Linked DNA regions of Macaca fascicularis. The protein of the gene in region 5 purifies or fractionates together with the protein of the main gene of each other region. This does not show direct contact. Links are inferred from orthologs where the notes say so. Each region holds a gene or a part of one and is shown on either strand. Other genes may lie near its edges. The genes, in order: KAT2B, SMARCC1, SMARCC2, TRIM33, SMAD2, USP15 and SKIL.

Region 1 (4,055 bases), on a different chromosome or scaffold from region 5:
CACGTCTTCAGAGTGCACGTGGACAGGGGCTGAAAGGGCCCCAAACTGACACAACTTCCCATGAGGGTTTCACAAAAGAAGCTGAGACAGTCCAGAGAAGAGGATACAAAAATCAGTTAATTTATGGTTAGAAATGGACACAAAGAGTTTTAACATATTTTGCACATAGTGGACAATACTGATTCCCAAATCAGCCTTCCATTCAGAATTCTAGACTGACTCAACCCTACCCTTTATTTTCTTGTACTGAAATAAATAGTGGTAAGGCAGAGAGAAGAGGGAAAGAAAAGCATATAGATGTGTGTCCACTTTAAGGGGTGTAGGCTACTGAAATCATTACTATAAATATATAAAATATTCATGTGAAACATTTAAATGCTATAGAAAACACCTATAAATAACTCAGTTATCAAGGAGCTAATGCATCCCTTTCACTCTTCCTTTTCACATTTTTAATACTTCCATAATTTTTTTTTTTTTTTTTTTTTTTGAGACAGGGTCTCCCTCCAGTACTCAGGCTGAAGTGCAGTAGTGCAATCACAGCTCACTGCAGCCTCAAACTCCTGGGCTCAAGCAATCCTCCAACCTCAGCCTCCCAAGTAGCTGGGGCCTCAGGCGTGTGCCACTACACCTAATTTTTTACTTTTTGTAGAGACAGGGTCTCACTACCTTACCCAGGCTGGACTTCCACAATTCTTAGCACCTGGAATAGATTACAAGTAGAAAAGAGACAGAAGACTCTGGCTCTCTCCAAAAATATGGCCACGTAGCTGATAAAAAGAAAACATTTCAGCTAGCTGTCTGTCACCCCACATGCCAAATTAGTTTAATTTGAGCGTTCTCAATTGATTCAATTAATCATTCATTTTAGCATAGTGTGGGCAAAGCACCAAACTGCACAATTCTACATTTCTGAAGACATCCTTTTTTGTTTGATTTTGGATATGAGACAAAGCTTAAAATAAAGAGTATATACAGTGACACCAACAGTACCCATCAAGGGCATGGAAAATTCAGAATTGTGGTAAGTAGAATTTCTCCCTCTGAAAGGACAGCAGTCAAGTAGTTTAACTTCTTTCATTATTATCTTGAATAATTATGAAAAGGAATACCTATTTACGACAGACTCAAAGCATATCAAGAGGATAAGCTGATGTTTTCTATTTGCACCAAACAGTTAGAATATAAGCAAAGTTATATCTAAAGTACCAGCTTTCATACCTAGTGCTATCTGCAGTTACCCTGGATTTTCTGTGTCTAGTGTCGTTAAGCTCGTGTGGGCTCTAAACGACAGCTGCAGAATGTCTCTAATGAACACAGCCACCCACTTCTCTGCCATCACTGCCCCTCCACGGTGCGTGGAATCCCACCACCCGTCATACACTTCCTACCCTAAACAGAGGAGTACAAATCAACCTCAGCAACCATTTGTCCCCCACACCGCCATCCAGTTTTAAATCTATACTTAGAAAATGTTAATGGCATTACCCATGGGGAACCTTATAACTTCATAATATCCCGGAGCTTCTGTTCTCTTCACAGGTTCCATGAAGGGCCAAGCGCTTTGATGGCTCTTGGGTAAAGAAAAAAGTAAGGTATCTAATATGGAAATTCCATGTGGGAAATCATTTCAAAATATTTGCATGAGGTGAATAAAGAGGACACCCACCTTCACCTGCTGGAGGATGCTCTTGAGCGTGCTGTAAAGCTGGTCAGGGTCTCTGGGCTCTTTACTTGAAAGGAAAAAGGGAAACAAGGAGCAATGATTAGATTTATACCCTATTGCCAGCTGATTACTATTCAGCTCATTCTTACAAAAACCTAAAATTGGAACCATTCCAGAATGTTTTAGGAAACTCAAAACCCACCAACTGTTGTGTGAGTGATTACAATTAGTTTGCCCATTTTCTTTAAGTTGCTGGGTGGGGGGAAAATAATCACTTCCATTAACATCCTTTTGCCTGTCATACTTACCTTTTCTCTTTTCCACTCGGTTTCCAGCCTGTCTCTCCTATAGGTCAACAAAATGAAACACTGAATGAGAAGTGCTTTTGGTCAAGAGAGTCACATAGTTAATACTTATCAAAAACAATAAATTACAGGCATGCCTCAATAAAAATCTACTTCTGAGAAAAGACTGAAATTAATGGCAATTAGTTACTTCCTTATACCGCTAACAATATAAAACATTTCCAAGACTAACAACACTGCCCCATATGTTACTGTTTTTAAAGCAGGAACACCAACCTTTCAGTGGAGAGCATAAAAAATAAATATGTACAGTACTGTGGGCATGTGTATTTTTTAAACTGAAAGTCAAATGTTTTGCAGATGACCCTGTAAAAGAGTTAAGCTGTTATTTTAGGTCAGAACAAACTCTGTCCTGGTCTCTGTTCTATTTGGCTAAGGCCCCGCTTGTAATGCAAGAAAGTTTAGTGTAGCAGATAGAAAACAGCCTGGAGTCTGACAGATCTGGATGTGATTTCCTGTTCTTTCCTTAAAAGGTAACTCACCCTAAATAAGAGTAAGTTGTCTCTCAGTTTATCGATCTATAAAACAGAACCCTAAAAATCAGGTGGTTTTATCCCTATTGAGAGTAGTTGATGTACCAAAAAAAAAAAAAAAAGCACAGAAAAATGTGTGGCACAAGTAGGCATTCAATGATCTGGTTGCTATTATGTCATTAACAGAGATAATACATGGAAGGAGAATTTCTGGATTTAGCATAAAAGTAAGATCTCCCATAGGGCAGATGTCATAAAGTGATATATCTTGCCAAAATAACATTTTATTTTTTCTGGAAAATTTTTGCTTGTTTGATTTTGGTTTTTTTATTAATGCTTGAATATACTAAAAAGAACTTGGATTTGAACTGAATAAAATTGCCAAATGATATTCAATGGCTTTTGACCTATAAAAACAACTATTTGGTATGGTTTAACCCAATACAACTCAACTCTAACATACAGCCAAGAACCCTTAGGAAAACTACTGTAAAATAGGGAATATGAAACACGGTATACAATTTCCATCACACATAACAAATAATATTTTTTGGAAGTTTGGGGAGACTAGTTTAGTCAAGCACAGACCTTGGAGGTTAAAACCCTGGTGGCAATGAGACACGGTGCAAACAGTAAGTTGTTTGGACATCAGAACTGGGCTGCTTCTAATTCTGACCGTTACTGGCTATGTGCCCTTTAGCAGTAAATGATCTAACTGCTTTGGAACTCGATTTCCCCATTTATAAAATAGGATTCCCTGCTTTCAAGGTTGCATATGCGTAATAATTCGCACTGTGCTACAAATAGCAGACTCTTAATAAACAGTGGATATTAACAGCTATTACAAGGGGGCATCTAAGCTCCCTTTGGTTTGTTTGTATTGGGTGGTAGGGAAGACATAAAACGATGACATTTGCTGCCTTTCTTAAAAGACTAGAGATAACACAGAGACAGGCAGGGCAATATAGCTTTCCAAGTTACTGCATTCTGGAAATTGTTTCAAACACAAATCACACTATTACTAAAAAATTTCGCTTTTAAAAGAAGGTCTATACGTACTAATTCCAGGAATGCTTTCTATAGGAATCTGTCGAACTCCATCTTTAAAACATGAAAGTCCAGGGTAAACTTTTCGAATCTGTGCCTGTTTTCTTTCAATCAGTTTTTTAATTATCTGTGAAGCACAAGAAGGAAATGTGTTTAGGGAAAGAAGTCTATGGATACAGTTCAAGTCAGTCACCCTAATGAAATGTTTTCCTAACAAAACAGTCTTTTTTATGAAACGAGATGGGAGAAAGGGGTGAATGCTATTTAACAGGTAAGAAATGAACAGATTATATTATACCATGTCTATTTAGTGACATTCACAAAAACATCTTTGAGTTACTTGTCCCCGCCATCCAGAAAAGCCAATATTGAGAAAACACACAGCCCCTAGGGCCCACTTGTCATCTGTAGCATAACACCCAATTATTTTGCCCTGCCTCTCTGAGGAGGCTCTGCCAGAATCACAGGAAAGCAGCCCTGAGCATTCACTACTCAGTCAAGTGA
Region 2 (4,739 bases), on a different chromosome or scaffold from region 5:
AAATCATGTTTACTGAGACTGAAACTGTTGTCTGCTCTGAAAATGCAGTATTACATGCACTAGAAACGGTTAGTTAAAACCAATGTGTACACAAATAGAAATGCATTGTGTAGAAAAGAAGCAAAGAACCTTCTGATAATATTTTCACCACTTCGACACTAACACCCAGAGACTGAAAAGATTCTGGCTGTCAGGCCTAGGGCATATATGATTCTCAATCTCAGTAGACCACAGAAATACACTCTGGCTTTACAAAGTCCTGAGAAGTCAAAGACAACTTTGTCTATAAAGTCTCAGGGATAGTGAATCAACATTAGCCTAGTGGTCTCAATACTACTGGGCAATTCTTCAAACTGCTTTGTAGCCACTTCCCTACCCACCCAAACAAATATCTGAAGATGATTATCCACACCTAAAGCTTCTTGTAGTTGGTCCCAAACTGATGCACACTGAACAGTGTGGAGAGGTAGAAATTACTGAAATTTGCCTTTTTCTACTCTCTTCCTTGATATTCAAAGGAACATCTCTAGATTATTTTTCTTTGTTAAAGCTTCACTGAATTTAAGACCCAAAGCATTGGCTAAAAGGAATGTAATAAGAAAGAATTAACCAATATTTTCATAACATATTCAATCCCACTAGCCACTCCTGGAAGCTCTATTACCTACGTTTAAAAAGCGCGGTGGCTCACGCCTGTAATCCCAGCACTTTGGGAGGCCGAGGCGGGCGGATCACGAGGTCAGGAGATCGAGACCATCCTGGCGAACACGGTGAAACTTCGTCTCTACTAAAAATACAAAAAAATTAGCCAGGCGTGGTGGTGGGTGCCTGTAATCCCAGCTTCTAGGGAGGCTGAGGCAGGAGAATGGCGTGAACCCGGGAGGCGGTGGAGCTTGCAGTTAGCGGAGATCGCACCACTGCACTCCAGCCTGGGCGACAGACCGAGACTCCGTCTCAAAAATAAAATAAAATAAAATAAAAAGTGACCAATTTATCACTGTGTAAGAAAGGGCAATATTACTAAACATCTAGAGTCTAAATGTAATTTGGGGGGGGGGTCCAAGCACCTAAAAATATAATTACTGTCTCTCACTTCCTCAAACTTCAGACAAGAAATGTAATTTTTCCCAGCTGAACTTCCAAAATAAAAAAGAAAGAAAGAAATGGTCATTTCTGGGGTTTGTTTTTTGCTTGTTTGTTTTTGTTTTTTGAGACAGAGTCTTACTCTATTACCCAGGCTGGAGTGTAATGGTGCGGTCTCGGCTCACTGCAGCCTCTGCCTCCTAGGTTCAAGCTATTCTCCTGCCCCAGCCTCCCGAGTAGCTGGGATTACAGGCGTGTGCTGCCACACCCGACTAATTTTGTATTTTTTGGAAAGACGGGGCTTCACCATGTTGGTCAGGCTGGTCTCGAACTCCTCACTTCAGGTGATCCACCCGCCTCGGCCTCCCAAACCGCGCCCGGCCAGAAATGGTCATTTCCGAATGTACCACGTGTAATGCCAAAGGAACCCAAGATCCCTGCCCATGCCTAATAACTGCCAAACACTGACAGGCTTCACTGAGCTGTAAAGGCCAAATAAATAGGTTCCTAGTTTATCTTTTCATTCATTAAACAAATATTTACTAAGCAGCTACTAAGGGTAAGGCACTAAGTATCAGCCACGTTCCCGGATACACTGTAGTGAACAAAGCCCTTTCTTCAGTGCTATGATCCTCAATAGGAGAAAGTACAGAATTAAAGAGGGTGATAGGAAAACTTCAGAGGCTGGGGAGCCTTTTTGACTACCTGCTTCATTACACCCTTTAAGGGAGTTCTCCGGAATATTTACACAAAGGGGAAGTTGGAGAAAAAAAAAATGTTATAAACAAGGGATTAAGTCAAAACTTTGAAAACTACTGACTCGGCGGAACTTCCATTCCAAAGGTAGGATAAATAAGTAAATGACTAATTTCAAAATGTGGTAAACACTACGAAGAAAATAAAGGTGACATAAGAAAAGTGCTCTAATAAAAACTGGGTTCTCGGAAGGCCTCCCTGAAGAACACTTTACGTACAAGTGAACATTAACTCTCACGCCACACAGAACCAGAAGCACAATGAGGTAGAAACCGTCGTTAATAGCTCTCATCCATCCTAGAATTCACATTACCTGTTAGTAATTAACGAATACAATCATCCCAGTCGTTTAGCAAATCAACAACAGGTAGCAAACCCCCTCGAGACTTTGAATACTCTCTAAACAAAACTTGAAGCTGCTTTTACCACGCTTGCTCGGTCTTTAGGGATCATTGTTCATACACCTAAGGCAGCTGACAAAAGAGAGTCACACTCGCCTAGTGGCTGAGCTCGACCTGCTCTGGCACACGAGACTGAGCAGGGGCTTTCGCCAGGGGTGCGTGGGCTCACAAGAACAAGCGCCTGACCCGTCAGGCCACCGGCGCGCGGGCGCCCAGAGCGGACGGCGGGGGCGTGGCGGGCCCTGCGCCTGCCTTTGTTGTCCCTCGTGGCGTGCGGGGGGGAGGGGAGGCCCGAGGCCCGCGAGGCCAGATGCCGCCTCCGGCCCCAGTCGCGTGGTCTCCCGGCCCCCATGGGCGCGCGAACCCACCTTCTTGTAGTGCTTGCCCAGCCAGACCCGCACCGAATCCAGCTGGGACACCGTCTCCGGGCTCTCCCAAAACTTGGTGGCCGGACCCCCATCCTTCCGCCGATAAACGGCTAGGCCTGCGGCTACCGCCGCGGCCCCCGAGCCCGTGGCGCCTACCGCTGCCCCAGGCCCGCCGCCGCCCGCCGCTGCGGCCATCGTCGCAGCCCGTCGTCCCCACAGCCTGGCCCACCCCAGCCCTCGCGGTGTTTCCCGTTCGTTCCCGCGCGCGCCCGCGCGCGCGTAGCCGCCACTGCCGCTTCCCGGCCCCGCCCAGCCAACCCCCTTCCGGTGCGGACGCCCGGCCCCGCCCCCTCTCGGGACTGGCGCCGTATCCGACGCGAGCCCGCGCATACGCATGCGCAGCACTCGTGCGGGCGCGCCTTGGACTAGCACGTCCAGCCGCCTCTTCCGCCAGCCTCTGTAGGCTCCGTTCTCCCCTAGTGAGTGCCGGTTATTGAGCCATGCTCTTCCCTCGCTACCGACGTCGAATCGTTATGCGGTTAACAACCGCAGGTTGATTCTGTGTCATAGCCTGCCTCCGCTGAAGGGAAAAGGTCTGGTGCGAGAAGTGCCGAGGGGAAAGCCTGCCTAGGGTATCGAGTGCGCCGGGCCCGGCTTTCCCTTAGACCCTCCACCCCCAGCGGCCCGGCGGCATTTGGGAAGAGCCATCTGGGACGCCCACGCCAAGGCTTTTCGGCTTCACAGACCTTCCACTCCCTCAGGGGTCCAGCCACAGCGGCTCATTCCTGCCCCCACGGGCCCTTGCATCGGCTGTTTCGGAGACCTCAGCGGGTCTTCCCTTCTGATTTTCACTTATGAGACGCGTTCAGATTCACTGGTTCAAAGGACTTCAGAAAGCCGTTGTCATATCTTACAATCTTGAACTGTTCACACCCATACACTTTCTGCGTAGCGCTTACCATGACCCGGTGTTTTTAGTTTCTCATTTACCTTCCACATAAATTACATGAGAACCTAATCTTAACTTGTTCACAGGTGTATCCTGAACACCTGAGACAATGAATACATGTACAGTGAATACTTGATGAATTAATGAATGGCCCATATAGAAGCCGAAAATTTTTAAATTATCAAGGTATGATTGGCCGGGCGTGGAGCACTTTGGGAGGCTGAGGCGGAACGATCGACTGACCTCAGGAGCTCTAGACCGCCACGCCCGTCCCCGTCTCTCCAAAAAAGTACAAAAAGCAGCCGGGCATTGTGTTGCAAGCCTGTGCTCCTAGCCTCTTGGAGGGCTGAGGTGGGAGGATCGCTTGAGCTGGGGAGATGCAGGCTGCTGCAGTGAGCTATAATCGCGCCACTCACGACACCATCCTGGGCGACAGAGCAAAACCCTGTTTCAAAAAGTACGACTGGCCATAATGGAGTTGTGAACATAATGCTATATGATCTCAGAGAAGCAAGTAACTAATTGCTTATGAGAAAGTGACTAACTGCTGATAAGGTTTTGAGACCTTTTAAAAATGAGGGTATGTACGTTTTCAGGATCTCCTGAGGGCTGTGTCACGGACAGTAAAATATATTAAATAAAAAAATGAATAGAATGTGATCAGGAGGGCCAGGCGAGATGGCTCACGCCTGTAATCCCAACACTTTGGGAGGCCAAGGTGGGCTGATCACAAGGTCAGGAGTTCGAGACCAGCCTGGCCAACATAGTGAAACCCCGTCTCTACTAAAACTACAAAAATTAGCCACGCGTGGTGGTGCATGCCTGCAATCCCAGCTACTCGGGAGGCTGAGGCAGGAGAATCGCTTGAACCCAGGAGGTGGAGATTGCAATGAGCCGAGATTGAGCCGCTGCACTCCAACCTGGGCGACAGAGCAAGACTCCATCTCCAAAAAAAAAAAGTTTTTATTTTGAAACTTTCTCAGATTTAACAGAAAAGTTGCAAATATAATACAAAGAACTTTTCCTGAATCATCTGAGAATAAGTTGCTGATAACTTATTCTCATAATGCCCATAACTATCAAAAATTTTAAAGTGTATTTTCTACAGACAAGTATAGTCTATATATTCTCTTACATAATCACAGTACAATCATTTATACTGGGAAATTAACACTGATGCCA
Region 3 (4,055 bases), on a different chromosome or scaffold from region 5:
GTGCCACCATGCCCAGCTAATTTCTGTATTTTTTTTTGTAAAGACAGGATTTGACCATGTTGCCTAGGCTGGTCTCAAACTCCTGGGCTCAAGCAATCTGCCCGCCTCAGCCTCCCCAAGTGCTGGGATTATAGGCATTAGCCACTGCACCCAGCCTATGTGCTATTTTTTGTTTTGCTTTGTTGAGACAGAGTCTCACTCTGTCGCCCAGGCTGGAGTGCAGCAGTGTGATCTTGGCTCACTGCAACCTCTGCTGCCCGGGTTCAAGCGATTATACTACTTCTCAGCCCCCCGAGTAGCTAAAACTACAGGCGTGCGCCACCATGCCCTGCTAATTTTTTTTTTTTTTTTTTTTTTTTTTTAGACACAGGGTTTCAGCATGTTGGCCAGGCTGGTCTCGAACTCCTAACCTCAGGTGATCCGCCTGCCTTGTCCTCCCAAAGTGCTGGGACTACAGGCGTGAGCCACCATGCCGGGCCTACATGCTGCTTTTTGCAACTATTAATAATATTCACTTATAAATTGTCCATGTTATTTTATATCACTTTGGAGGCTGCATAATAGCCCACTGAGTAGATATACAAATTTACTGAAACATTTTCCTACTGTTAGACATTTAGATTGTTTCTAACATTTACTTATCAAAAATTATGTGGGGATAATCAATTCATACATAAAGCCTCAATTGTTTTAGCCCAAGGCTTGTTCACTAAGTCCAAACCTCCCCCAAGACTGAGGTTCACTTAATAGGTGAGAGGAGAACAAATTAAGTGATCTAAAAATAACTCTGAACGAGTGGCTTCTTGCTCTGCTAGATGTTCCAGGGCTTCTGGGTCTGGCTCTTATACTTAAACCTGCCCCAGGAACCCATCCTCACCTGTCAGGATAGTAGCCCCAGTGCAGAAGAACCTGCTTATCCCTCTTCATGACTGGTCGTACCCATTCCTCTGGGGATAGAGGAAGAGAAGGGAGAGATATAAGCTAAAGAGGGACACAAAAAAAATACTGTACATAAGCCCTAACTAATGCACTCTCCTGTTGTAGCAGGGGACTTGGTAATAGGAACTTAAGGTGTTAGGAGGATTCAAGATTGAAAGAAGAGGAGCCCAGGTACTGAATGGTGATCTTAGTCCTCTGCCTCCTAGTCCAAACCATCCACTCAAGTGGCCAGGAAAACCCAGGTCTCACCTTCTTCTAGATTCCCCGGGACAGGATACACAACATGGGAGGCATTGTTCTTATCCTCAGTGACTGTTCCCTAGATGGCACAAGGAGAAGCAGGTAAATTACGGTCCCCTCTGAATTACTCAAGGTTTAGCCACAGAGCTGCCTTCCTAATCATATTTTGCTTATAATAGTATTAAAGTTAGTTTGCATTCTCTAAGCACACACCAGCTAAGTGGCAGAGGGAAACAGCTGGGATTGTGCTAATAATGGAGAAAAGTCAAAGAATTAAAAATTGCTACAAATAATCCTCTGAACAGATAATCTACACATGGGAAATTTAAAGTCAACTGTACGTCCTTATCAATGACATCTGTTCATTATTATAAAGTTCTAAAGAGCAGGGATTTCATTTATCTGAAATCAAGCAATCTCTAGCTCAATAGAAGTGGATACTATTTTTCCCCAGGCCAACATAAGTCTCTAGGAACAGTAATGCAAACCTGTCAGGACTGAAAAATGGGAGAAGTAGACAGAAAAAGACAGACTCAAGGCTTTTTTTTTTTTTTTTTTTGAGACAGAGTCTGGCTCTGCCGCCCAGGCTGGAGTGCAGTGGCTGGATCTCAGCTCACTGCAAGCTCCGCCTCCCGGGTTCACGCCATTCTCCTGCCTCAGCCTCCCGAGTAGTTGGGACTACAGGCGCCCGCCACCGCGCCCGGCTAGTTTTTTGTATTTTTTAGCAGAGACGGGGTTTCACCGTGTTAGCCAGGATGGTCTCGATCTCCTGACCTCGTGATCCGCCCGTCTCGGCCTCCCAAAGTGCTGGGATTACAGGCTTGAGCCACCGCGCCCGGCCAGACTCAAGGCTTTAACTCAAGTCTTCCCAGTAGACAGAGCCACCTCTGAAGCAGAAAACATGGTAGTTCAGGGCTGCTGCTTGGTATAGAAAACATCAGGAAAAGAGTCATGGAGTTTCTGAAACCTCTCCTGATCAGACCATTTACCTGGTGTCTCTTGATTATGTCCTTTAATTTCCCTAGTAGTTTGGGCTCAATTTCTGGGCACAGAAAAATGTTAGGTCGAGACAGGCAATTATTCTGTGGAGAAAAGAAATAGAATGAGATCACGGGAAAGGAGTGTTTTAGATTTTCACTGAGGGAAGGGAGATAAATAGGGGATATGCCTATTACCTGCACCAAGGACTTCTCGATGGTCATAAACATTTCCACATTGCGGTCCATGCGTGATGGATTCTGGAAATCGTAACGCCGCCTTGTGAAGAGGCAATAATCTAGTGAGTGGTATAGCTCAGGTCTGCAGATGAGGTGAGGGCATGTGACTTTTGTTTTTTGAGATGGAGTCTTGCTCTGTCACCTAGGCTGGAGTGCAGCGGTGTGATCCTGGCTCACTGCAACCTCTGCCTCTCAGGTTCAAGCAATTCTCCTGTCTCAGCCTCCCCAGTAGCTGGGACTACAGGCACACACCACCTCGCTTGGCTAATTTTTGTATTTTTAGTGGAGACAGGGTTTCACCATATTGGTCAGGCTGGTCTCGAACTCCTGACCTCAGGTGATCCACCTGCCTTGGCCTCTCAAAGTGCTGGGATTACAGGCATGAGCCACCACACCCAGCCTTTTTTTTGTAGTTGTTGCTGTTTTGAGAGGGAGTCTTGCTCTGTTGCCCAGGCTGGAGTGCACTGGCGTGATCTTGGCTAGCTGCAACCTCTGCCTCCCCTTTACAAGCCATTATCCGGCCTCAGCCTCCCAAGTAGCTGAGATTACAGGTGCCCGCCACCATGCCCAGCTCATTTTTGTATTTTAGTAGAGATGGGGTTTCGCCAAGTTGGCCAGGCTCGTCTTGAACTCCTGACCTCAAATGATCCAACCACCTCGGCCTCCTAAAGTGTTGGGATTACAGGCATGAGCCACTGCACCCAGTCATGACTTCTTAATATGGGAAATTAGGAGGCAAGCTTGCTTACAGCTATTGCCAAAATCACCTGGGATCTGAGGTTCACTGATCTCAACTCCATGAATCACTCTCTGTGCTTACTCCAAAGGGACAAAAAAAGGTTTCAGACGCCAACCTAAGAATCCCTTTTCCTCTACAAAACACACACTGATACTCGAGTACACACTCACTCTTGGCGACTGTTTTGGCTCTGACTCCCAACCATTTTTCTGACCTAACAAGTCAGGTCTACTGACCCAGCAAAATAAAGACTCACAAGAATTTCTACCCCAGAAAGACCCCAGGGAATCAAAAGGAGGGATTTCCTCTAAACTAAATGTAAGAAGAATAGAGAGAATCATCTCACCATCCCTGGTCACTCTTGAATTTGTAGGCAGCTGCAAGAATGTGGCACAAGGAGCCTCCCGCTTTGAAATCTAGGAAACATTTGATCTACAAAATCAAGGTACGGAAGAAGCATGTCAAGGTTCTATTGTAAATTCTATCATCACTTAAAATCCTTTCACAAAATCCCATGCTGAACTGATCTCCCTCTTTTTTTTTCAGATGGAGTTTTGCTCTTGTTGCCCAGGCTGGAGTGCAATGGCACGATCTCGGCTAACTGCAACCTCTGCCTCCCAGGTTCAAGCAATTCTCCTGTCTCAGCCTCCCAAGTAGCTGGGATTACAGGTGCCTACCACCACATCTGGCTAATTTTGTATTTTTAGTAGAGACAGGGGGGGTTTCTCCATGTTGGTCAGGCTGGTCTCCAACTCCAGACCTCAGGTGATCCGCCCACCTCGGCCTCCCAAAGTGCTGGGATTACAGGCGTGAGCCACCGTACCCAGCTCAAAGCTGAAATTCTTTAACCCTTGTGCCATTGCATCATGTGGCCTGCAAGAGGGGAGTGAAAGAAACCAATATACAGAAAGCACCACCTT
Region 4 (4,055 bases), on a different chromosome or scaffold from region 5:
AGTAAAATGTTTAAACAGTTTGGTATATTTTCAAAGGCTTATTTTTAAAAAATTGAAAGTGAAGAGGAAGCCAGGAATAAAGTAAATCAATAGCAATAATAAAATCAATACTCTTTAAATACACAACCAGGAAGCCTAAATCATATTCCTATTTACCCCCACCCCTTGTTAAGAAAAGAAAAACAACCCAAAGGAATTTGTATAATAATTTCTTTAGAGCACTTTATTTGATTCAATATGCACTAAAAAATATTGACCTCTTAGACAATTATGTGAAATAATTTTGAGTAGTCTACTCTCTGAACTGCTTAAACTGAATTTTTAAAAAGGCAAATAAATGATTTGCCACAAAACTGCTGATTTCTGAAAAATATCTAATGGCAAATTCTTCTATTTTGGTCTCTGTATATTCTAATGTGTCCATACAAAAGTAGGACTAAAATCTTTAATCAAACAAAAGAGAAGCCTGTAACATTGTAGAACACACATTTTGAATCTGAGCATCACAAATGAAGAAAAGAAAAATGAACCAGAGCCAAGTTGATTTATCTGCCTCGGGTGCTGTAATTGGGGTGGTAAAGGTGGGTTTACTCCAGTAACCATTCAAGTGGGGATTGGCTCATTTTCAGGATTTACTTACAGGTCTCTTCTAAGTCCTTTAAGCCCCCAGTCCATGCAAATGTCCCACTTGGTGGACAGATGAGTAATCTAACCCCACCGGGTTTATTTCAATATTTCAATATCTCAATAATAAGCTGCTTCTGAAGATTTTTTGAGAAGTCTGTTCTCTATTAAAATAAGATAGAACCTCAAAATATGAATGTGAACATTAGAAATAGACAGAATATATTACAAATCCATTCTTGATAGGAACATTAGTAAGAATACACATTAGCTTAAAAAACAGGCTCAGCAAATGTTGCTGATCTGCCAAAAGTTTTAGTTCACTATTTACAAATAAGACAAAGTGAAATACAGAAAATTTTACACATTTGGTAGTTGACAGATACTGTTTGCCAATAGTGGTCTATCAGAAAACTGACATGAAGGAAGACTGGAAAAGAGCCAGTTGTCACCTTCTCAATCAAATTTAAATGTACAGAAAACTAGATTAATTTTGAAACAAACATTCTGCCTTTCATGGGAATAACTGTATGATCACATGATTTGATTGGGAAGTACAATTGTAAGTGTTTTCTGGAAATGACTACTATAACTCTAAATAATCCACTAATGAAAAGTTACCATTTTTATTTCAGTAGACCATTGAAGTTGATTAAATGATAACTAGTGGTCGTGTTTCCTAAACCCTAAGTATGAGTAGAAAATAAAACCACTGCTGAGTTCTTTATATCAATTTAAAAACTAAGACCCAACAGCATAAAAATGAGAAAAAATATAATGGCATGATTCAATGCAAATCTGCACTGACATTAAAGTAGAATCTGAGCTACTTGGGTTTTCAACTAGAAAACAACCTGATATGTATGTGTGTGAAGAGAGAGGGTTAAAAGTTGTTTTAATAACTGTGCGACCTAGTCCAAAAAGAAAATTTATCAAGTGACACGAGCCTCAAGTATTTACTCGTACACCAAGTATCCTGCACCAATCAATAGCACACAATCATCAACATTTGCCATTTCTAACAGAGAATCACCCTCATTAGAACAGAAATCCTCACATCATTTCACTTTTGCTTTTTGCTTTTAAAGTTGCAAACAGAGTTCTCTCCCCCTTTCTTGACAAGAATGTGTTTCTGTCCATTATTTCAATCTAATACTGTGTAAAAGCTATCAGCTTCTTCAAGGAGGTGCCCACTGTAGGCAGGATATTCCAGCAACACTTAAAAGTTTTCTGGGTTGTTTTTTTGTTTGTTTGTTTTTTAACAATTGATTCAAATCCATGTCATTTTACTTTATATGTACTGGTCTCTCATCTGACTTTAGGCGTTTTCTGCGGGGCTGTATAAAGTCTTCATCAGAGTCCTCAGTTACCTCACCATCATCCTCTTCCTGCTCAAACTCTGGCAAAGGTGCGAAGGTCCTGTCTGAGTAGATCTCTGTGAGTTTATCTTCAAAGTACAATGCAACTGCTTTCCCTGCCTGAGCTACTTCTGAATCAGCCTGCAAGCAAAAGATAGGAATATTCACCTATTGGTAATGCATATTCCTTCACCAAGTTTGCATGGTCTGAAAAGCTTACCTTCAAATTAATCTCTTGTGTGTCTGCATAAACTTGAACAACTTTCATCATCTAAAAAGGATACCAGAGTCAAAAAAAAAAAAGGGAAATTATAATCCTTTCTAAAGTTATGAGACTGTATAGGATTGGCGACGAAAAGTCAGCCATACTAGGGAGAACAAATTGCTATAACCAGATAAAGTGCTTTTCTAAAATTCTACAGAACATGGAACCATTTTCTTTACAAAGCCCTGTTACTAAAGCTACTGTGAAACCTCAGTAATTGTCTTATTTTGAATTATCAAGGTCAATCTGAATAGGAATTGGTCTGAACACATCAATCTATTCAAGAGAAAAATATTTGTGAAGCAAATTATATAAGAAACCTTGCTTTTAAAAAACTGACACACTTTCAATAAACCACTTAATAAAAATTATATCTGTATAGCAATATGTTAATCATAAACTATTTAACTATTACTGAGGCAGGTAACATGGGTCTTATCAACTATAGTTCATGAAAGCATATCTATTTGAAAATAATTTAACTACACTGAAAAATAAGACAAAATTTGGGACTAGTTTCTAAATTTAACTTCAAATTAATGAGATTTTACTAATATACTCTGTGCCATACTGCTATAAAGGTGACTTAGAATTTTCACCTTATGAGGATTTTGTTTTGTTTTCAATTTTAAAATGCCATCTGGATGCTTCCAGAGGTAGTTACGGGAATACGTTACAGGATTCAATGTGATTTATTTTAGTAATAATCATATGGCACCCAAATTACATCAGCAATAAAAAGACTTTAGTATTAATCTTTTAAAAGATTTTGTGGATTCTCATTAAATTCCACTTTCTTCTCATGAAAATCTTCCATAATAATAACAGAATTGATTTTATCCCTAAGATAATAAAAACAATTTTCCTGAAACAGGTATATATCACATTTCTTCTCAAGGTATGGCTAATTCAACCTTACCCTCAAAAAAAACCAAACCAAAACAAAACAAAAAAAACTCCAAAAACCAAAAAACATAACCAAAATTAATGAAAGTCACACTGCTGAAATAAGAAAACTCAGTATCATATACTCTGGGCCACTATTCAAGATAGGTCACCAGAGATTAGTTTAAGGTTCTACATTTATGTTGTCAATAATAAAATGCAAGGACAAGGGTACAGATACTTTCCTAATTGTACCCAAAATGTAAGCTGTTTATAATCATATCCCACGAAACATACTTAACTACGGACAGTACTTTCCATACTTATGCCAATCCTCAACTCATTTAGAAAAAGTAATATTCTTAATGTATTATATTTAAGTATATACTCCAAATTATACACAATAAATTTTCTTCACTGGAGCTGTTAATACAATCAGATGTTTAGCAGGACTACAGCAGAAAAAACAATTTTAATAAAACTAAAGTCTTTCAGCAGAAAAAATAAAACAAGGAAACTAACAAAAACTAACAAATCAAGACTCTATAGGTTGGAAGTTAACATACTTCATTAAACCTTTCACAGTTCTTGAAGATCAAACGGACATCAGCCACAAAGTCATCTGGGATTTGGTAGTGTTGGGAATGTTTTTTCTGAAGCTTCTTTTTCACGGTGGATAAATCCATTGGTTTCTTTATAATTTTATAGTAGTTTGGTATCTAAAATAAGCAAATAATGGCAAATAAGAATTCTCCAAAAATGCCAAACTGTTTAATTTGAAAATGCATAGCATATTAATTTTAGGGGAAAGAAAGTTATTATAGAGCCAGCTGCTTGCAAATTTTGATACAGACATATGTACTTTACATCTTCATGAAAACCAAATCTTATGCAGAATATGTGCCAATCTTCATGGTTAGTCC
Region 5 (4,055 bases):
CATTATATAACATTATTACAGAAAGTAATATTGCATACTGAAGGTGTATAATTCAGGATCTTGTCCAAATTTTGCAGTGAATCCTTAACATCTACTTTTAATAAAATCCTACTCTCTGGACATATACATTATTTACATATCTCGCTCATTCCTGTATGTACATATTCTGTGACAAGAGCCAAAAATGTAACTTCAAAAATGCCCCAGATCTGAATCAGTAGGCTGCAAAACCACTAATAACTACAATTTTTTGTTGTTGTTGTTTAATCTAATGAACATCGTTATTTTATGAGTACTTAGAAAATAAAAAACACACACAAGATTTTGGATTATAAAAGTATTAAATAATACAGCTTACAACTTATACTAAGTTCTATAGGGTAAAATATGGTAGTATGGTTCCAGATTGGTCCAGACTGAATTCTACCTAAAAAGTATATTTCTCCAAGGATTCCCAACTGGTAAAGTCTAAGTGTTTGAAGCAAAAAATTCAATTCAAATATAGACTACTGTATAAAGAGGTAAAATGCTCCCCGAAAATAAACTTTAGGATTCTAACATGTTATTTCCACCATGTTGTCTGAATAAAACATTTATATTCAGAAAGGCATCTGAATAGCTGAAAACACTGCATGTAAAATAAAAACATGTATACAATTACATCAACTGTAATTCCAAGGAGGAAAAATAAGTTCAAAAGAGTTTCATCAGTTCAACATTTACACTGCTGAACACTTCTGAGCAACTCAAGATAACACAGACACATATCCAAACAGAATTTTAAAATTATCAAAAGACAGAGGCCAGGCACCATGGTTCACACCTGTAATCCCAGCACTTTGGGAGGCCGAAGTAGGCGGATCACCTGAGGTCGGGAGTTCGAGACCAGCCTGACCAACATGGAGAAACCCGTCTCTACTAAAAAAAAAAAAAAAAAAAAGAAAATACACTATTAGCCGGGTGTGGTGGCGCATGCCTGTAATCCCAGTTACTAGGGAGGCTGAGGCAGGAGAATCATTGAACCCAGGAGGTGGAGGTTGTGTTGAGCTGAGATCACACCATTGTACTCTGGCCTGGGCAAGGAGCGAAACTCCATCTCAAAAAACAAAAAACAAAAAACAAAAAACAAAAAAAAAAGGAGAGAGGGAAGATACAGGTTAAGGGTCTCCTTCAATAACCTTTTACAATATCTATTCAATAAGCTAACCACAAACTTTAAGTATCAAACTTTTCATTTAAGTGTCAGTACCCCAAAATTTTTAATACAAAAATTCTAAGAATAAACTAGCTTCATATATGCAAACAATAAAGAACATAAAAATAAGTGTATATATCATTACGTATATTTTAAAAGTTAAAGCTAATAAAGTTAAATGGTGCTAAGCTTTTTGAGTTTAACCAGTATCTGAAAGATCTAATCAGAAAGAAATGCTGAACCTTAAAATACGTTATCTTACTGCACTTTTTCCATTGTAATAAATAATAAAGCTATTAGCATTTTTGAGAAAACGTTAAAATGTATTTTAAGTGGAATAAAACATGAATCCTTTGGTTTTGCTGTTGCTTGAAACTGGATAAAGCCCCACTGTCCAGAAAAGCAAATGGGTATAATCCACTTCTGATTTTCTACTTTATAAAATACTCAAATCTAAATAATTAAAAGAATAAAAAAGACAGGAAAAATGAGCCCAAACATCTTCACGAGTGAAAGCCACTAAACATTTTGGTGAATATCCTTCCAAATAATTACTGGATATGCATGCTGTAAGACTGCATGCTTATACCTAAGGTTAGTACTGTTGGCTGAAAAACGGTAATCTCCACACTAACGACTTAAAATGCCTCCCTTTCCCCACACCAACGTTCACTAAACTCCACTCCCTTTCCTACCTGGCAACTGCCCTGTTTCATAGTCCCACGTTTTCCCTCATCCTAGTATATCACACTATACCCCACCTTCTCCCTCTCTTAACTTCAGTAAGTTTGTATTTCCTAGCAACCCAAAAAGCAGCTTTAAATCCTCTTCTGGAATAAAACAGTAATCAAACTAAAACAATCAAAAACCACTTCCCATCTGTAAAACTAGCTATTAAAAAAAAAAACTTATCTTTCTTAGTTATCTTTTCTTATCTTTCTTTTTTTCTTCCTTACATTTTAAAAATTATCTTCAATGCGGCCGGGCGCGGTGGCTCAAGCCTGTAATCCCAGCACTTTGGGAGGCCGAGACGGGCGGATCACGAGGTCAGGAGATCAAGACCATCCTGGCTAACATAGTGAAACCCCGTCTCTACTAAAAAAATACAAAAAACGAGCTGGGTGAGGTGGTGGGCGCCTGTAGTCCCAGCTACTCAGGAGGCTGAGGCAGGAGAATGGCATGAACCCGGGAGGCGGAGCTTGCAGTGAGCTGAGATCCGGCCACTGCACTCCAGCCTGGGTAACAGAGCGAGACTCCGTCTCAAAAAAAAAAAAAAAAAAAGAAAAGAAAAAAAAATTATCTTCAATGCATAAGCATTATTTCCATGATGGATACATGAAAGAAATAATTGTTTAAATGTATTAAAACTGTATTTTAAAAATTTTGTAAATGCTCTTAAGTTCCTTACATATTTTTAGTGTATAAAATAAGAGTGGAATAGAAGAATATTACAAAAGGAAGAAAGAAATCAAGACACGATAGCTTAATCTAATCCTCATCCTAACATCATGCTGTTTCTGCTAGGGAGAAAAATCAATCAAACAAAACAAAAAGGAAAACATACAAGAAAAGTAACAAAATATTAGTCGTTCTCCAAAAAAAAAACCATAAAAAACAGAAAGGCCAGATATCGTATCGTGGAGTATTACTGAATCACACAATACATCAGAACAAAATTTGAGAACCATGTAGCTGAATTCATTTTTCATCAGGAATCACTAAGATGCAGACGAAACATAATGAAAAGAGGTTTTCTGATGTTCAGTATAATATGTAAGTGCTGCTACGTCTACAGAACTAAGTATTATATTTCTTACAGAAATGTTACATTTCTGTTAAATATTACCAAGTTACCTAAGAAAAAGTGATCACTGGGTGAATTTTCAGTTACATGTGTTTCAGGGGTACTTTTTTCCTACATCATTTGTTTTGCTTACATTCTGCATCTCGCTTAGCTTCAACAACTAAGATAAACTTACTAAGATCTTTTCTTTTCTGCTTCTCACAGTACTTTGATTAAAGTCACTGCAAAAGAAAATGAAATATAAAGTAAAACTCTTCTCCAAACAAGTTTAATGTACTAGGCTTATACATTTCACAAAATAATCACCCAACAAATCCGATTTTTCTATTAAAAACTCAAAAGCATTTTTAAAAAAGTGAAACCACAATTCACTAATACTTCAATGCTTATGAACAACATTTGTATCTATCCAAGTTTTAGAAGATTCAGAAGTCAAACATACCTGGAATATAATTACTCTGTGGCTCAATTCCTGCTGGGAAGTTAGTGTTTTCTGGAATGGAGTGAGTATAGTCATCCAGAGGCGGAAGTTCTGTTAGGATCTCAGTGTGTCGGGGCACTAATACTGGAGGCAAAACTGAAAAAGTTCAAGAAAGCCTAGTTATGGCAAAGAGCAAAGGGGAGTGGGGGAACCTTTTTTAAAGTTTCAACAAGAAGAAGAGAAGTTGCAGCTTAATTTTTAAAGTTAGGGTCTGACAAATCTGATTACGGCTTTAACTTATGTAGTCTATTATCCAAATTTCCAAGTTCTAATTTATCTCAAACTTTTGGAAACAATGTGATCCTGGTAATATATTACCATAAAAGTTCATAAATCCCCATTGGAAAAATTAACATTGTCTTTATCTGTACAATCAGATATAGAAAAATTTCCAAAAATACAGCTACTGCTATATTTTTTAATAGTTTCAGGTAGACAGCTAACTAAATGAAGCCTTATTACAAGCTTTACTAAACAGCGTATATACAAATGATGTCATTAAAGTACTTCTAAAAGCACTCCAAGTGCAAAATGCTTGAAAATAAGTTACTGCAGCAGGGACATGTAGAGGCACA
Region 6 (4,055 bases), on a different chromosome or scaffold from region 5:
CTATGGATGAAAACCTTAGTAGTATTATGGAACGGGATGATATTTATGTGTAAGTATAAAACTCATTGTGCAAAATATTACTTGAAAAAAAAATCAAAAGAAGTAACCTAAAATTTTGAGAGTTTATGGTCAGTTTTGTCCTTGTAGGTTTGAAATTAACATCAATAGGACAGAAGATACAGAGCATGTGATTATTCCTGTTTGCCTAAGAGAAAAATTCAGACACTCAAGTTATACCCACCATACTGGTTCTTCACTTTTTGGTCAGCCTTTTCTTATGGCTGTACCACGAAACAATACTGAAGACAAACTTTATAATCTCCTGCTCTTGAGAATGTGGTAAGTGCCAAACAATTCTACATTGACAAAATAAATATGGGAATAAAATATAAAATAGCTAATAAAAATAAACACACAAGGTACTATCAGAATATAATTATACAAGTCTGTATTGTCTCAGTTTTGTTTATAGTCAGATTATAGTCCTAATCCACTTTCTTATTCACGTAAAACACATTATGGAGGTAATTTCAAACCCAGGAAGCATGAAGTCTGTAGCAATTTTAGGCCAAAAGTTTACAGTTGGAAGGAAATAGGAATTTATGTTATAATAATTATGTGTTACATGTTTGTTCTGTGAAATCATAACAAATGTCAAATGCTATATGTTTGCACTGTGAAATGACAAATGTCAAATGCTTCATTTCTTTATATACATTACCAATTCATGATTAATAGTATTGTAAGGCAGCCTATTTTTTGCCTTCCTAAATCCCCTTATTTGAATTATAAAGTTATCAAGAATGTCATTTGATCCCTTTTATCTTTGAAAGCTGATATATTTAGTATTCTTTCTTGCATATCTAATTATTATGGTTTCATAACCCATATGTAAAGATCACATTATACAAAAATAAGTGTTTTTAGCAACAATATATACCATCTAAATGAGGATAAGTTGAGAAATTATTTGCAACAAATATTTAACATTTAACCTAAAAGGTAACGTACTAATTATTTTTATAAAGAGGAGCAAAACAAATTATTAGTCAGCTATATGTATGGTACTGTAAGTTTGATTTTAACCTTGAATCTACTAAGTGACCACTGTTACATTAAAAAGTTTTGTTTTACTGATAGAATGAAAACATTTTTAAAGTTTTTATCTTTGTAGTACTGAACTTGTTTGATTTCTGATTTTACTTAAGCCGATATGTCAAAATATCTACTGAAACTGAAGAAACTGAAGGATCCCTACACTGCTGTAAGGACCAAAATATTAATGGGAATGGCCCAAATGGCATACATGAAGAAGGCTCACCAAGTAAGACTTTTCTGTTAAATTATAAAAATGTTTCACTTAAATAATTGCTTCAGAGAGAAAGTTAAGAAAATGGGAATTAAAGAGCTAAAAAATACCTGCAAACCTACGACTAATAATATTAATAATTTAAAAATATAACATTGAGTTTATTTAAAGTTCTCTAATATCTAAAATTAGGTGAAATGGAAACAGATGAGCCAGATGATGAATCCAGCCAGGATCAAGAACTTCCCTCAGAGAATGAAAACAGTCAGTCTGAAGATTCAGTTGGAGGAGATAATGATTCTGAAAATGGATTATGTACTGAGGACACTTGCAAAGGTCAACTCACGGGACACAAAAAACGATTGTTTACATTCCAGTTCAACAACTTAGGCAATACTGATATCAACTACATCAAAGATGATACCAGACATATAAGATTTGATGATAGGCAGCTTAGGCTAGATGGTAAGTATTTGTGAAAAATGGCTTGAACATTAAACAAGCAGAGCATGTTTTTTTGTTTTTTAGGTGAAAACCATGAAATTCAGCCCTGTCAAGAAATACACCATTTACTTTTCTATCTCAAATTTTATATGAAAGGACTTAATATCTAAGTAGACCAAAATGTGTGTCTGTGTTTCATAAATGGAGATTGAATTCATGCTTAAGTTTTCTATCTTTTTTTAAACTTTTAAATTATTTCAATGGCTTGGAAACTGCTATTTGCCCTAATCACCTGTACAAGTAGAAAAGATTGCTATTTATTTATTCTAGTGTATATCCTAACATTAAAATATACTTTAATACTAAGACATATTAAATTTTAAAGAAAAAATATGTTTTCCACCTTAGAAAGATCTTTTCTTGCTTTGGATTGGGATCCTGATTTGAAAAAACGATATTTTGATGAAAATGCTGCTGAGGTAAGTCATCACTCACTTATTTACCTTTCCTTGATTTACTTTATGTGATTACCAGAGATAATCATACTGTTGTGTTACATTCTTTGCTTCCACCAAATGTTCATTTTGCCAGTAAAAAAGTGGTCATGAACTAGAAAAGAAAGTCTTTGCAAAAATACCTTTTTTTCCCCAAAGGTTCAGAGTTCATTTTGAACATGTTTTGCTCATCCATATAGGAGTGTACAGGAATTATTTAGAAGTATGATATAAATCTCAACTGAAATAAGCTTTATGATTCTTTTGAGAAAGTTTAGGAGTTTTCATTATTATTCATAGTAAGATGGTACCACTAAAATGAGTTTTGTTTCATTTGTTCTCTTAACTCAAGAAATACTTCTCTTTAGGACTTTGAAAAACATGAAAGTGTGGAGTATAAACCTCCTAAAAAACCCTTTGTGAAATTAAAAGATTGCATTGAACTTTTTACAACAAAAGAAAAGCTAGGTGCTGAAGATCCCTGGTAAGAGACAAAATTAAATAATTGTTTATGTTTTCTTTAAGGGTTTATTCTGAGATACGTGCCACATTAACTTGAAAAAGTAATTACTAAATTCTCTTTGATGTTTTAAATAGTAAAGGATTCTTTATATAAGTGGTAGCCTTTTAAGAGGGATAGGAAGTTCTTAAAAAATACTGTTACAGTGTTGCCTTAATTTTATTACTGTGTTTTTCCTAATAGCCATTATACTATTAATAATTCATTTTAGTTACTTGTTTTCCAAGAAATTTTAGCTACGTAATCATTTTGAGAGAAGCTTTTTAGGAAAAGTGTAGTGATATATTTTGTGATGTTATTCCATTAGAGCCCAGTTTTGAGATTTTCTAATACCTATCTTCCAGCACAGATGTCTTTTTTGCATACTAAAAGAGAAATAATCTAGCCCTCATTATGTCTTTAAATATTGGTTTGTATATTAATTTATAATGGTTTAACCTTTTTGGAAAATGTGTTGAAAATAAAAATAACAAGAGTTGCTTTCAACCTGGTACATATTAGGCATACGATAATTGCCCACTGAATAAATGTAGAACTTTCCGAACATTTTTTGTTATTTTCATTAATGGGGGTTGTTTGTACCTCTATCAAGCTTTAAATACTTCTCTTTATTCTTAGGTATTGTCCGAATTGTAAAGAACATCAGCAAGCCACAAAGAAATTGGATTTATGGTCCTTGCCTCCAGTACTTGTAGTACATCTCAAGCGATTTTCTTACAGTCGATACATGAGAGACAAGTTGGATACCTTAGTTGATTTCCCTATCAAGTAAGCTTTAATTGTATTTTATAAGTATTGAGCAACTCTTCTTTCAAATTTACTTGATGCTTTTTGTTATTATCCTTTAGTAAATATCAGGTGCCATTGGATCCAATTTCAGCTTTCAAGTTTGTTTTTGAGTAGTTCTAACAATTTATAAGGATCAGTGTTTCAAAATTTTTATTTTTTCTTAGAGATTTTCCAAAGACCAAAGAGGAAATATACTTTTAAAAACTAAAAACAATAAAACTCCTTTTGTGTTATATTACCTATGGGTTAATTGGTCTCATTTATAAATCTAAGATACTTTATGGTACTTAGTAATTTTGTTTATCTAGGAATTATTTCATCATTACTCATCACTTACTTCTAAATATGTTGGGTTTTCTTGGTGGTTTTTTTTTTGTTGTTTGTTTGTTTGTTTGTTTGTTTGTTTGTTTTTTGAGACAGAGTCTCACTCTGTTGCCCAGGCTGGAGTGCAATGGCACAATCTCGGCTCACTGCAACCTCCACCTCCTGGATTCAAGTG
Region 7 (4,055 bases), on a different chromosome or scaffold from region 5:
CAGTCTCCTGAGCTATCACCACGCTAGAAAAGTATAGCAACTGAGATTAAAATAAATCACCCAGAGTTTTGAAGGGTAGCATTTTTAAAGGTAAAAGCTCTAATTATCTGAAAATTTAGCTTAAACAAAAAGTCTGTTTGAAAATGCTGAATAAATGTGTTCATTAGATATTTAATTTTAGAAAGATAATCTCTGAATACTTACCTAAACGGCTACATAATTCTCTACTTGTTTTTAAATCCATTTTCTCCTGTTCCTCAAGTGAGACATCTGGATAAGACACTGTTTTTTGAAGTTTACAACTACTGTGAGCCTTCTCTGACTGTCTTGATATGGACTTACTTGACTCTGTCTTTGTGAGCTCTTTAGACTGGGATACAGCAGAAGTAAGCGACACATTTGGGGCAACCACTTTATCACACATGTATAAGTAGTAGCTGAAAACAAGTAAAAGCAAAACAAGACATATATTACATATTACGATTAAGTAAAAATCAAATATGTAACATGCATTTCTGTGGTTAAACTTTTTTTTTAACCAAAACAGACAATATTACAACTCAGAAAATAAAGGTCACAGTGAAGAATTCTCAGGAAAAAAATCAGCACTTTAGGCATTACAAACAAAATTATAAGGGATTTTTTGTTAGTCTGCAAGTAACCCAGGCTGGAGTGTAGTGGTGTGATCATGGCTCACTGTAACCTCTAACTCCTGGGCTCAAGCAATCTTCCTGCCTTAGCATCCCAGGTAGCTGGGAAGACACATCCCCATTTTTTTTTTAGAGATGGTGTCTTCCTAGGCTGCCAAGTTGGCCTTGAACTCCTGGGCTCAAGTGATACCCTCCCATCTCTAACTCCCAAAGCACTAGTATTACAGGCATAAGCAACCATAACCAGCTTGCAAATAATTTCGTGGGTTTTTTTTTTCTTCTTGGCAAGTAATTTATAAGCACTAAAAAGATACTCAGAAAGAAAATCACAGGCCCTTCTCCTTCCCTCAGAACCACCCCAGAACTATAAGCATTAAGCACTTTATACATCTGTGTAACAACTCTGAGCAGGTAAGTTTTACTCCAGAAAGAGAATCATCTATAACTACTTTGGAGGACTTTATCTTGCCCACCACCCTTCTAAACAGGGAATCTTGGCTCTTTGCTTTGGTGAGGCTGCTTCAGTTGCAGACTGCAAGGTTATGGACTGATTCACAAGAGGCTCAATGAGGAGCTCCCAGGGCTCTTCTTATATACCTCAGAGACAGAATATGCACTCTGAATGCCACCCAGCTACTGGGCAGTTCTTATATCAAACCCCACTGAGCAATCTTCTTAAAATGCTTCACTACTTTCTATTCATTTGAGAAAATGTCAATAATATATTATGCAAAACTAAGATGGAAGAGATTACCAATTTTGATCAAAACTCACATAAAATTGCCCAGTAGACACATCTGAGACGCTCGTGGAACAGATTTCAGCTACATATTTGTAACTATATATTCTGAGTAACACTTAGCAAAAAGATGCAACCATTTAAGACTTGACACTCCATCCCCTGAACTCCAGACAATCTCCTCTTATATTTCATTTTCTTTGTACATGACATCTATATTGTTCCCCTTTGTTAATAACATACATTTTTGAGCCAAAATCTCAGTTTTCTGACAGGACAAGAAAACCGACAGGTTTAATAGTGCTCAAAAGACTTACTGCAAATACAACAGGTAAAGTAGTGATTGTACAAACGTAAATAAGACTCGGTCTCTTTGTCACCATGCTTGGAGGGAATACAGATTTACACTAGTAGATAAAAATCTAGGACTCAACAAGAAAAACTTAAAATCTAGGGTGCACGTTTACTGAAAAAGTAAAACTCTGATTTTGAGAAGTGTGGTTATTAAGAAAGCTCTAAGTTTCAAAAGAATTTCTTTTTAAAATATCAAAGTTGCAGGCCAGGTGCAGGGGCTCATGCTTGTAATCCCAGCACTTTGGGAGGCTGACACAGGTGGATCACTTGAGGTCAGGCGTTCAAGACCAGCCTGGCCCACATGGTGAAACCTCGTCTGTACTAAAAATACAAAAATTAGCTGGGTGTAGTGGCGGGTGCCTGTAATCCCAGGTACTCAGGAGGCTGAAGCAGGAGAATCGCTTGAATCCGGGAGGCGGAGGTTGCAGTGAGCTGAGATCGCACCATTGCACTCCAGCCTGGGCAACAGAGCAAGACCCCGTCTCAAAAAAAAAAAAAAAAAGTTGAAGTCGCAGCTGGGCACGGTGGCTCACGCCTATAATCCTAGCAGTACTTTGGGAGGCCAAGGGCAACAGATTACTTGAGGTCAGGAGTTCAAAACCAGCCTGGTCAACATGGTGAAACCCCGTCTGTACTAAAAATACAAAAAAATTAGCTGGAAGTGGCAGCTGGCGCTCAGGCTCAGCTACAGGATGCCATGGCAGAAGAATTGCTTGAACCTGGGAGGCGGAGGTTGCAGTGGACCAAGATCCTGCCACTGCACTCCAGTCTGGGTGACACAGTGAGACTCTGTCTCAAAAAAAATCAAAGTTGTACACCAAACTCTTGAAGAGTTGGTTTACCTCTTGAAGAAAAGTAAGAAATTAAAGAACTTTCATTTTTTACTTGAGGGCAAAAAGAAAATGACCTATTTCTAGAAAACACATAGAAATACATAGTAAAGGTTATTTAAAATATTCAGTGCAATTTATAATTAATTTCATTTTAGATTCTTTCTTTGAATTTTTTCTAGTAAGAGTGACTAAACACAATTCGTCTACAATTTCCCTATAATGATAAATGAAACCAAAAAATACATTAAATACCAACGGACTTATTTAAAAATAATTTGGAATTTTCAAAGATAATCTATGATTAACAAGAAAGCCTGCAAATAAAGAAATAAATTCCTGGTCAGGCGCAGTGGCTCATGCCTATAATCCCAGCACTTTGGCAGGCTGAGGTAGGCAGATCACCTGAGGTCAGGAGGTCGAGACCAGCCTGGCCAACATTGTGAAACCCCGTCTATACTAAAAATACAAAAATTAGTTGGGCATGGTGGTGTGAGCCTATAGTCCCGGCTACCCGGGAGGCTGAGGCAGGAGAATCGCTTGATCCCAGGAGGCGGAGGTTGCAGTGAGCCGAGATTGCGCCATTGCACTCCAGCCTGGGTAACAGAACAAGACTCCATCTCAAAATAAATAAATAAATTAATTAATTAATTAATTCCCATGTCCTAGAATAGTGCGTGGTATACAGTTGCTGAATGAAATGAATGAACGAACAAACAAATAAATACCAACTTACCTGGGGTGTAAAAATGAATGTGTCTGAGAAACATGGTCACCTTCCTGCTTTATAACAGGATACCATGACTGTAATTCCATTCCTGATGGTGCATCTGTCTGCAGAAAAACATGGAAGCGAAACATTTATTGAAGTTTAACCTGTGAAGGTCATTTTATGTGTCAACCTGACTGGGCCACTGAGTAAAGACAAGTAACATTATTTAGGAGTCATCATGCCAGGCACAGTGGTTCACACCTGTATTCCCGGCACTTTGGGAGGCAGAGTGGGGAAAATCCCATGAGCCCTGGAGTCAGCCTGGGCAACACAGGAAGATCCAGTCTCTTAAAAAAAAAAAGAAAAAAAATTAGCCAGGTGCGGTGGTATACACCTGTGGTCCCAGCTACTTGGGAGGCTGAGGTGGGAGAACCCCTTGAGCCCAGGAAGTTGAGGCTTGCAGTGAACCGTTATTGCACCACTTCACTCTATCCTGGGCAACAGAGTGAGACCCTGTCTCAAGGGTCATCTTCCAATAAGGCAGTCTTCCCTTGAAGAAGCCTGATTGATCATCTGAAACTCAGAGACACCCACATAAACTATCCCATCACAAGAACAGTTTCAGGACACATGTTAATGTGGAGTGCCAGAAATGATTCATACAAATTTCATACTTATGAAATCTATTTTCTTTATTTATTTTGTTTTGTTTTTGAGACAGAGTCTCGTTTTGTCACCCATGCTGGAGAGCAGTGGCGAGATCTCAGCTC

Evidence for each region.
Region 1: the proteins of SMAD2 (region 5) and KAT2B purify together in Homo sapiens (affinity purification with western blotting, with the first as the bait; 3 studies listed by BioGRID). This does not show direct contact. The link is inferred for Macaca fascicularis from reciprocal best matches to the Homo sapiens genes SMAD2 and KAT2B.
Region 2: the proteins of SMAD2 (region 5) and SMARCC1 purify together in Homo sapiens (affinity purification with mass spectrometry; 3 studies listed by BioGRID, with this or other methods). This does not show direct contact. The link is inferred for Macaca fascicularis from reciprocal best matches to the Homo sapiens genes SMAD2 and SMARCC1.
Region 3: the proteins of SMAD2 (region 5) and SMARCC2 purify together in Homo sapiens (affinity purification with mass spectrometry; 3 studies listed by BioGRID, with this or other methods). This does not show direct contact. The link is inferred for Macaca fascicularis from reciprocal best matches to the Homo sapiens genes SMAD2 and SMARCC2.
Region 4: the proteins of SMAD2 (region 5) and TRIM33 purify together in Homo sapiens (affinity purification with western blotting; 7 studies listed by BioGRID and IntAct, with this or other methods). This does not show direct contact. The link is inferred for Macaca fascicularis from reciprocal best matches to the Homo sapiens genes SMAD2 and TRIM33.
Region 6: the proteins of SMAD2 (region 5) and USP15 purify together in Homo sapiens (affinity purification with western blotting; 4 studies listed by BioGRID). This does not show direct contact. The link is inferred for Macaca fascicularis from reciprocal best matches to the Homo sapiens genes SMAD2 and USP15.
Region 7: the proteins of SMAD2 (region 5) and SKIL purify together in Homo sapiens (affinity purification with western blotting; 8 studies listed by BioGRID and IntAct, with this or other methods). This does not show direct contact. The link is inferred for Macaca fascicularis from reciprocal best matches to the Homo sapiens genes SMAD2 and SKIL.

The regions. Positions count from the first base shown.
Region 1 is NC_088376.1:28,279,931-28,283,985, forward strand, and holds part of KAT2B (histone acetyltransferase KAT2B), read right to left. Parts: intron 3,679-4,055; coding exon 3,564-3,678; intron 2,012-3,563; coding exon 1,975-2,011; intron 1,734-1,974; coding exon 1,670-1,733; intron 1,574-1,669; coding exon 1,489-1,573; intron 1-1,488. UniProt on the Homo sapiens protein: Functions as a histone acetyltransferase (HAT) to promote transcriptional activation. Has significant histone acetyltransferase activity with core histones (H3 and H4), and also with nucleosome core particles.
Region 2 is NC_088376.1:110,703,832-110,708,570, forward strand, and holds the start of SMARCC1 (SWI/SNF complex subunit SMARCC1), read right to left. Parts: upstream 2,900-4,739; 5' UTR 2,804-2,899; coding exon 2,609-2,803; intron 1-2,608. UniProt on the Homo sapiens protein: Involved in transcriptional activation and repression of select genes by chromatin remodeling (alteration of DNA-nucleosome topology).
Region 3 is NC_088385.1:62,971,301-62,975,355, forward strand, and holds part of SMARCC2 (SWI/SNF complex subunit SMARCC2), read right to left. Parts: intron 3,568-4,055; coding exon 3,482-3,567; intron 2,437-3,481; coding exon 2,355-2,436; intron 2,262-2,354; coding exon 2,169-2,261; intron 1,259-2,168; coding exon 1,189-1,258; intron 948-1,188; coding exon 878-947; intron 1-877. UniProt on the Homo sapiens protein: Involved in transcriptional activation and repression of select genes by chromatin remodeling (alteration of DNA-nucleosome topology).
Region 4 is NC_088375.1:119,977,305-119,981,359, reverse strand, and holds part of TRIM33 (E3 ubiquitin-protein ligase TRIM33), read right to left. Parts: intron 3,852-4,055; coding exon 3,699-3,851; intron 2,254-3,698; coding exon 2,203-2,253; intron 2,124-2,202; coding exon 1,911-2,123; 3' UTR 1-1,910. UniProt on the Homo sapiens protein: Acts as an E3 ubiquitin-protein ligase. Promotes SMAD4 ubiquitination, nuclear exclusion and degradation via the ubiquitin proteasome pathway. According to PubMed:16751102, does not promote a decrease in the level of endogenous SMAD4.
Region 5 is NC_088392.1:41,926,856-41,930,910, reverse strand, and holds part of SMAD2 (mothers against decapentaplegic homolog 2), read right to left. Parts: intron 3,577-4,055; coding exon 3,442-3,576; intron 1-3,441. UniProt on the Homo sapiens protein: Receptor-regulated SMAD (R-SMAD) that is an intracellular signal transducer and transcriptional modulator activated by TGF-beta (transforming growth factor) and activin type 1 receptor kinases.
Region 6 is NC_088385.1:69,324,954-69,329,008, forward strand, and holds part of USP15 (ubiquitin carboxyl-terminal hydrolase 15), read left to right. Parts: coding exon 1-49; intron 50-147; coding exon 148-339; intron 340-1,208; coding exon 1,209-1,324; intron 1,325-1,501; coding exon 1,502-1,774; intron 1,775-2,161; coding exon 2,162-2,232; intron 2,233-2,615; coding exon 2,616-2,731; intron 2,732-3,385; coding exon 3,386-3,535; intron 3,536-4,055. UniProt on the Homo sapiens protein: Hydrolase that removes conjugated ubiquitin from target proteins and regulates various pathways such as the TGF-beta receptor signaling, NF-kappa-B and RNF41/NRDP1-PRKN pathways.
Region 7 is NC_088376.1:81,886,108-81,890,162, reverse strand, and holds part of SKIL (ski-like protein), read right to left. Parts: intron 3,404-4,055; coding exon 3,310-3,403; intron 438-3,309; coding exon 205-437; intron 1-204. UniProt on the Homo sapiens protein: May have regulatory role in cell division or differentiation in response to extracellular signals.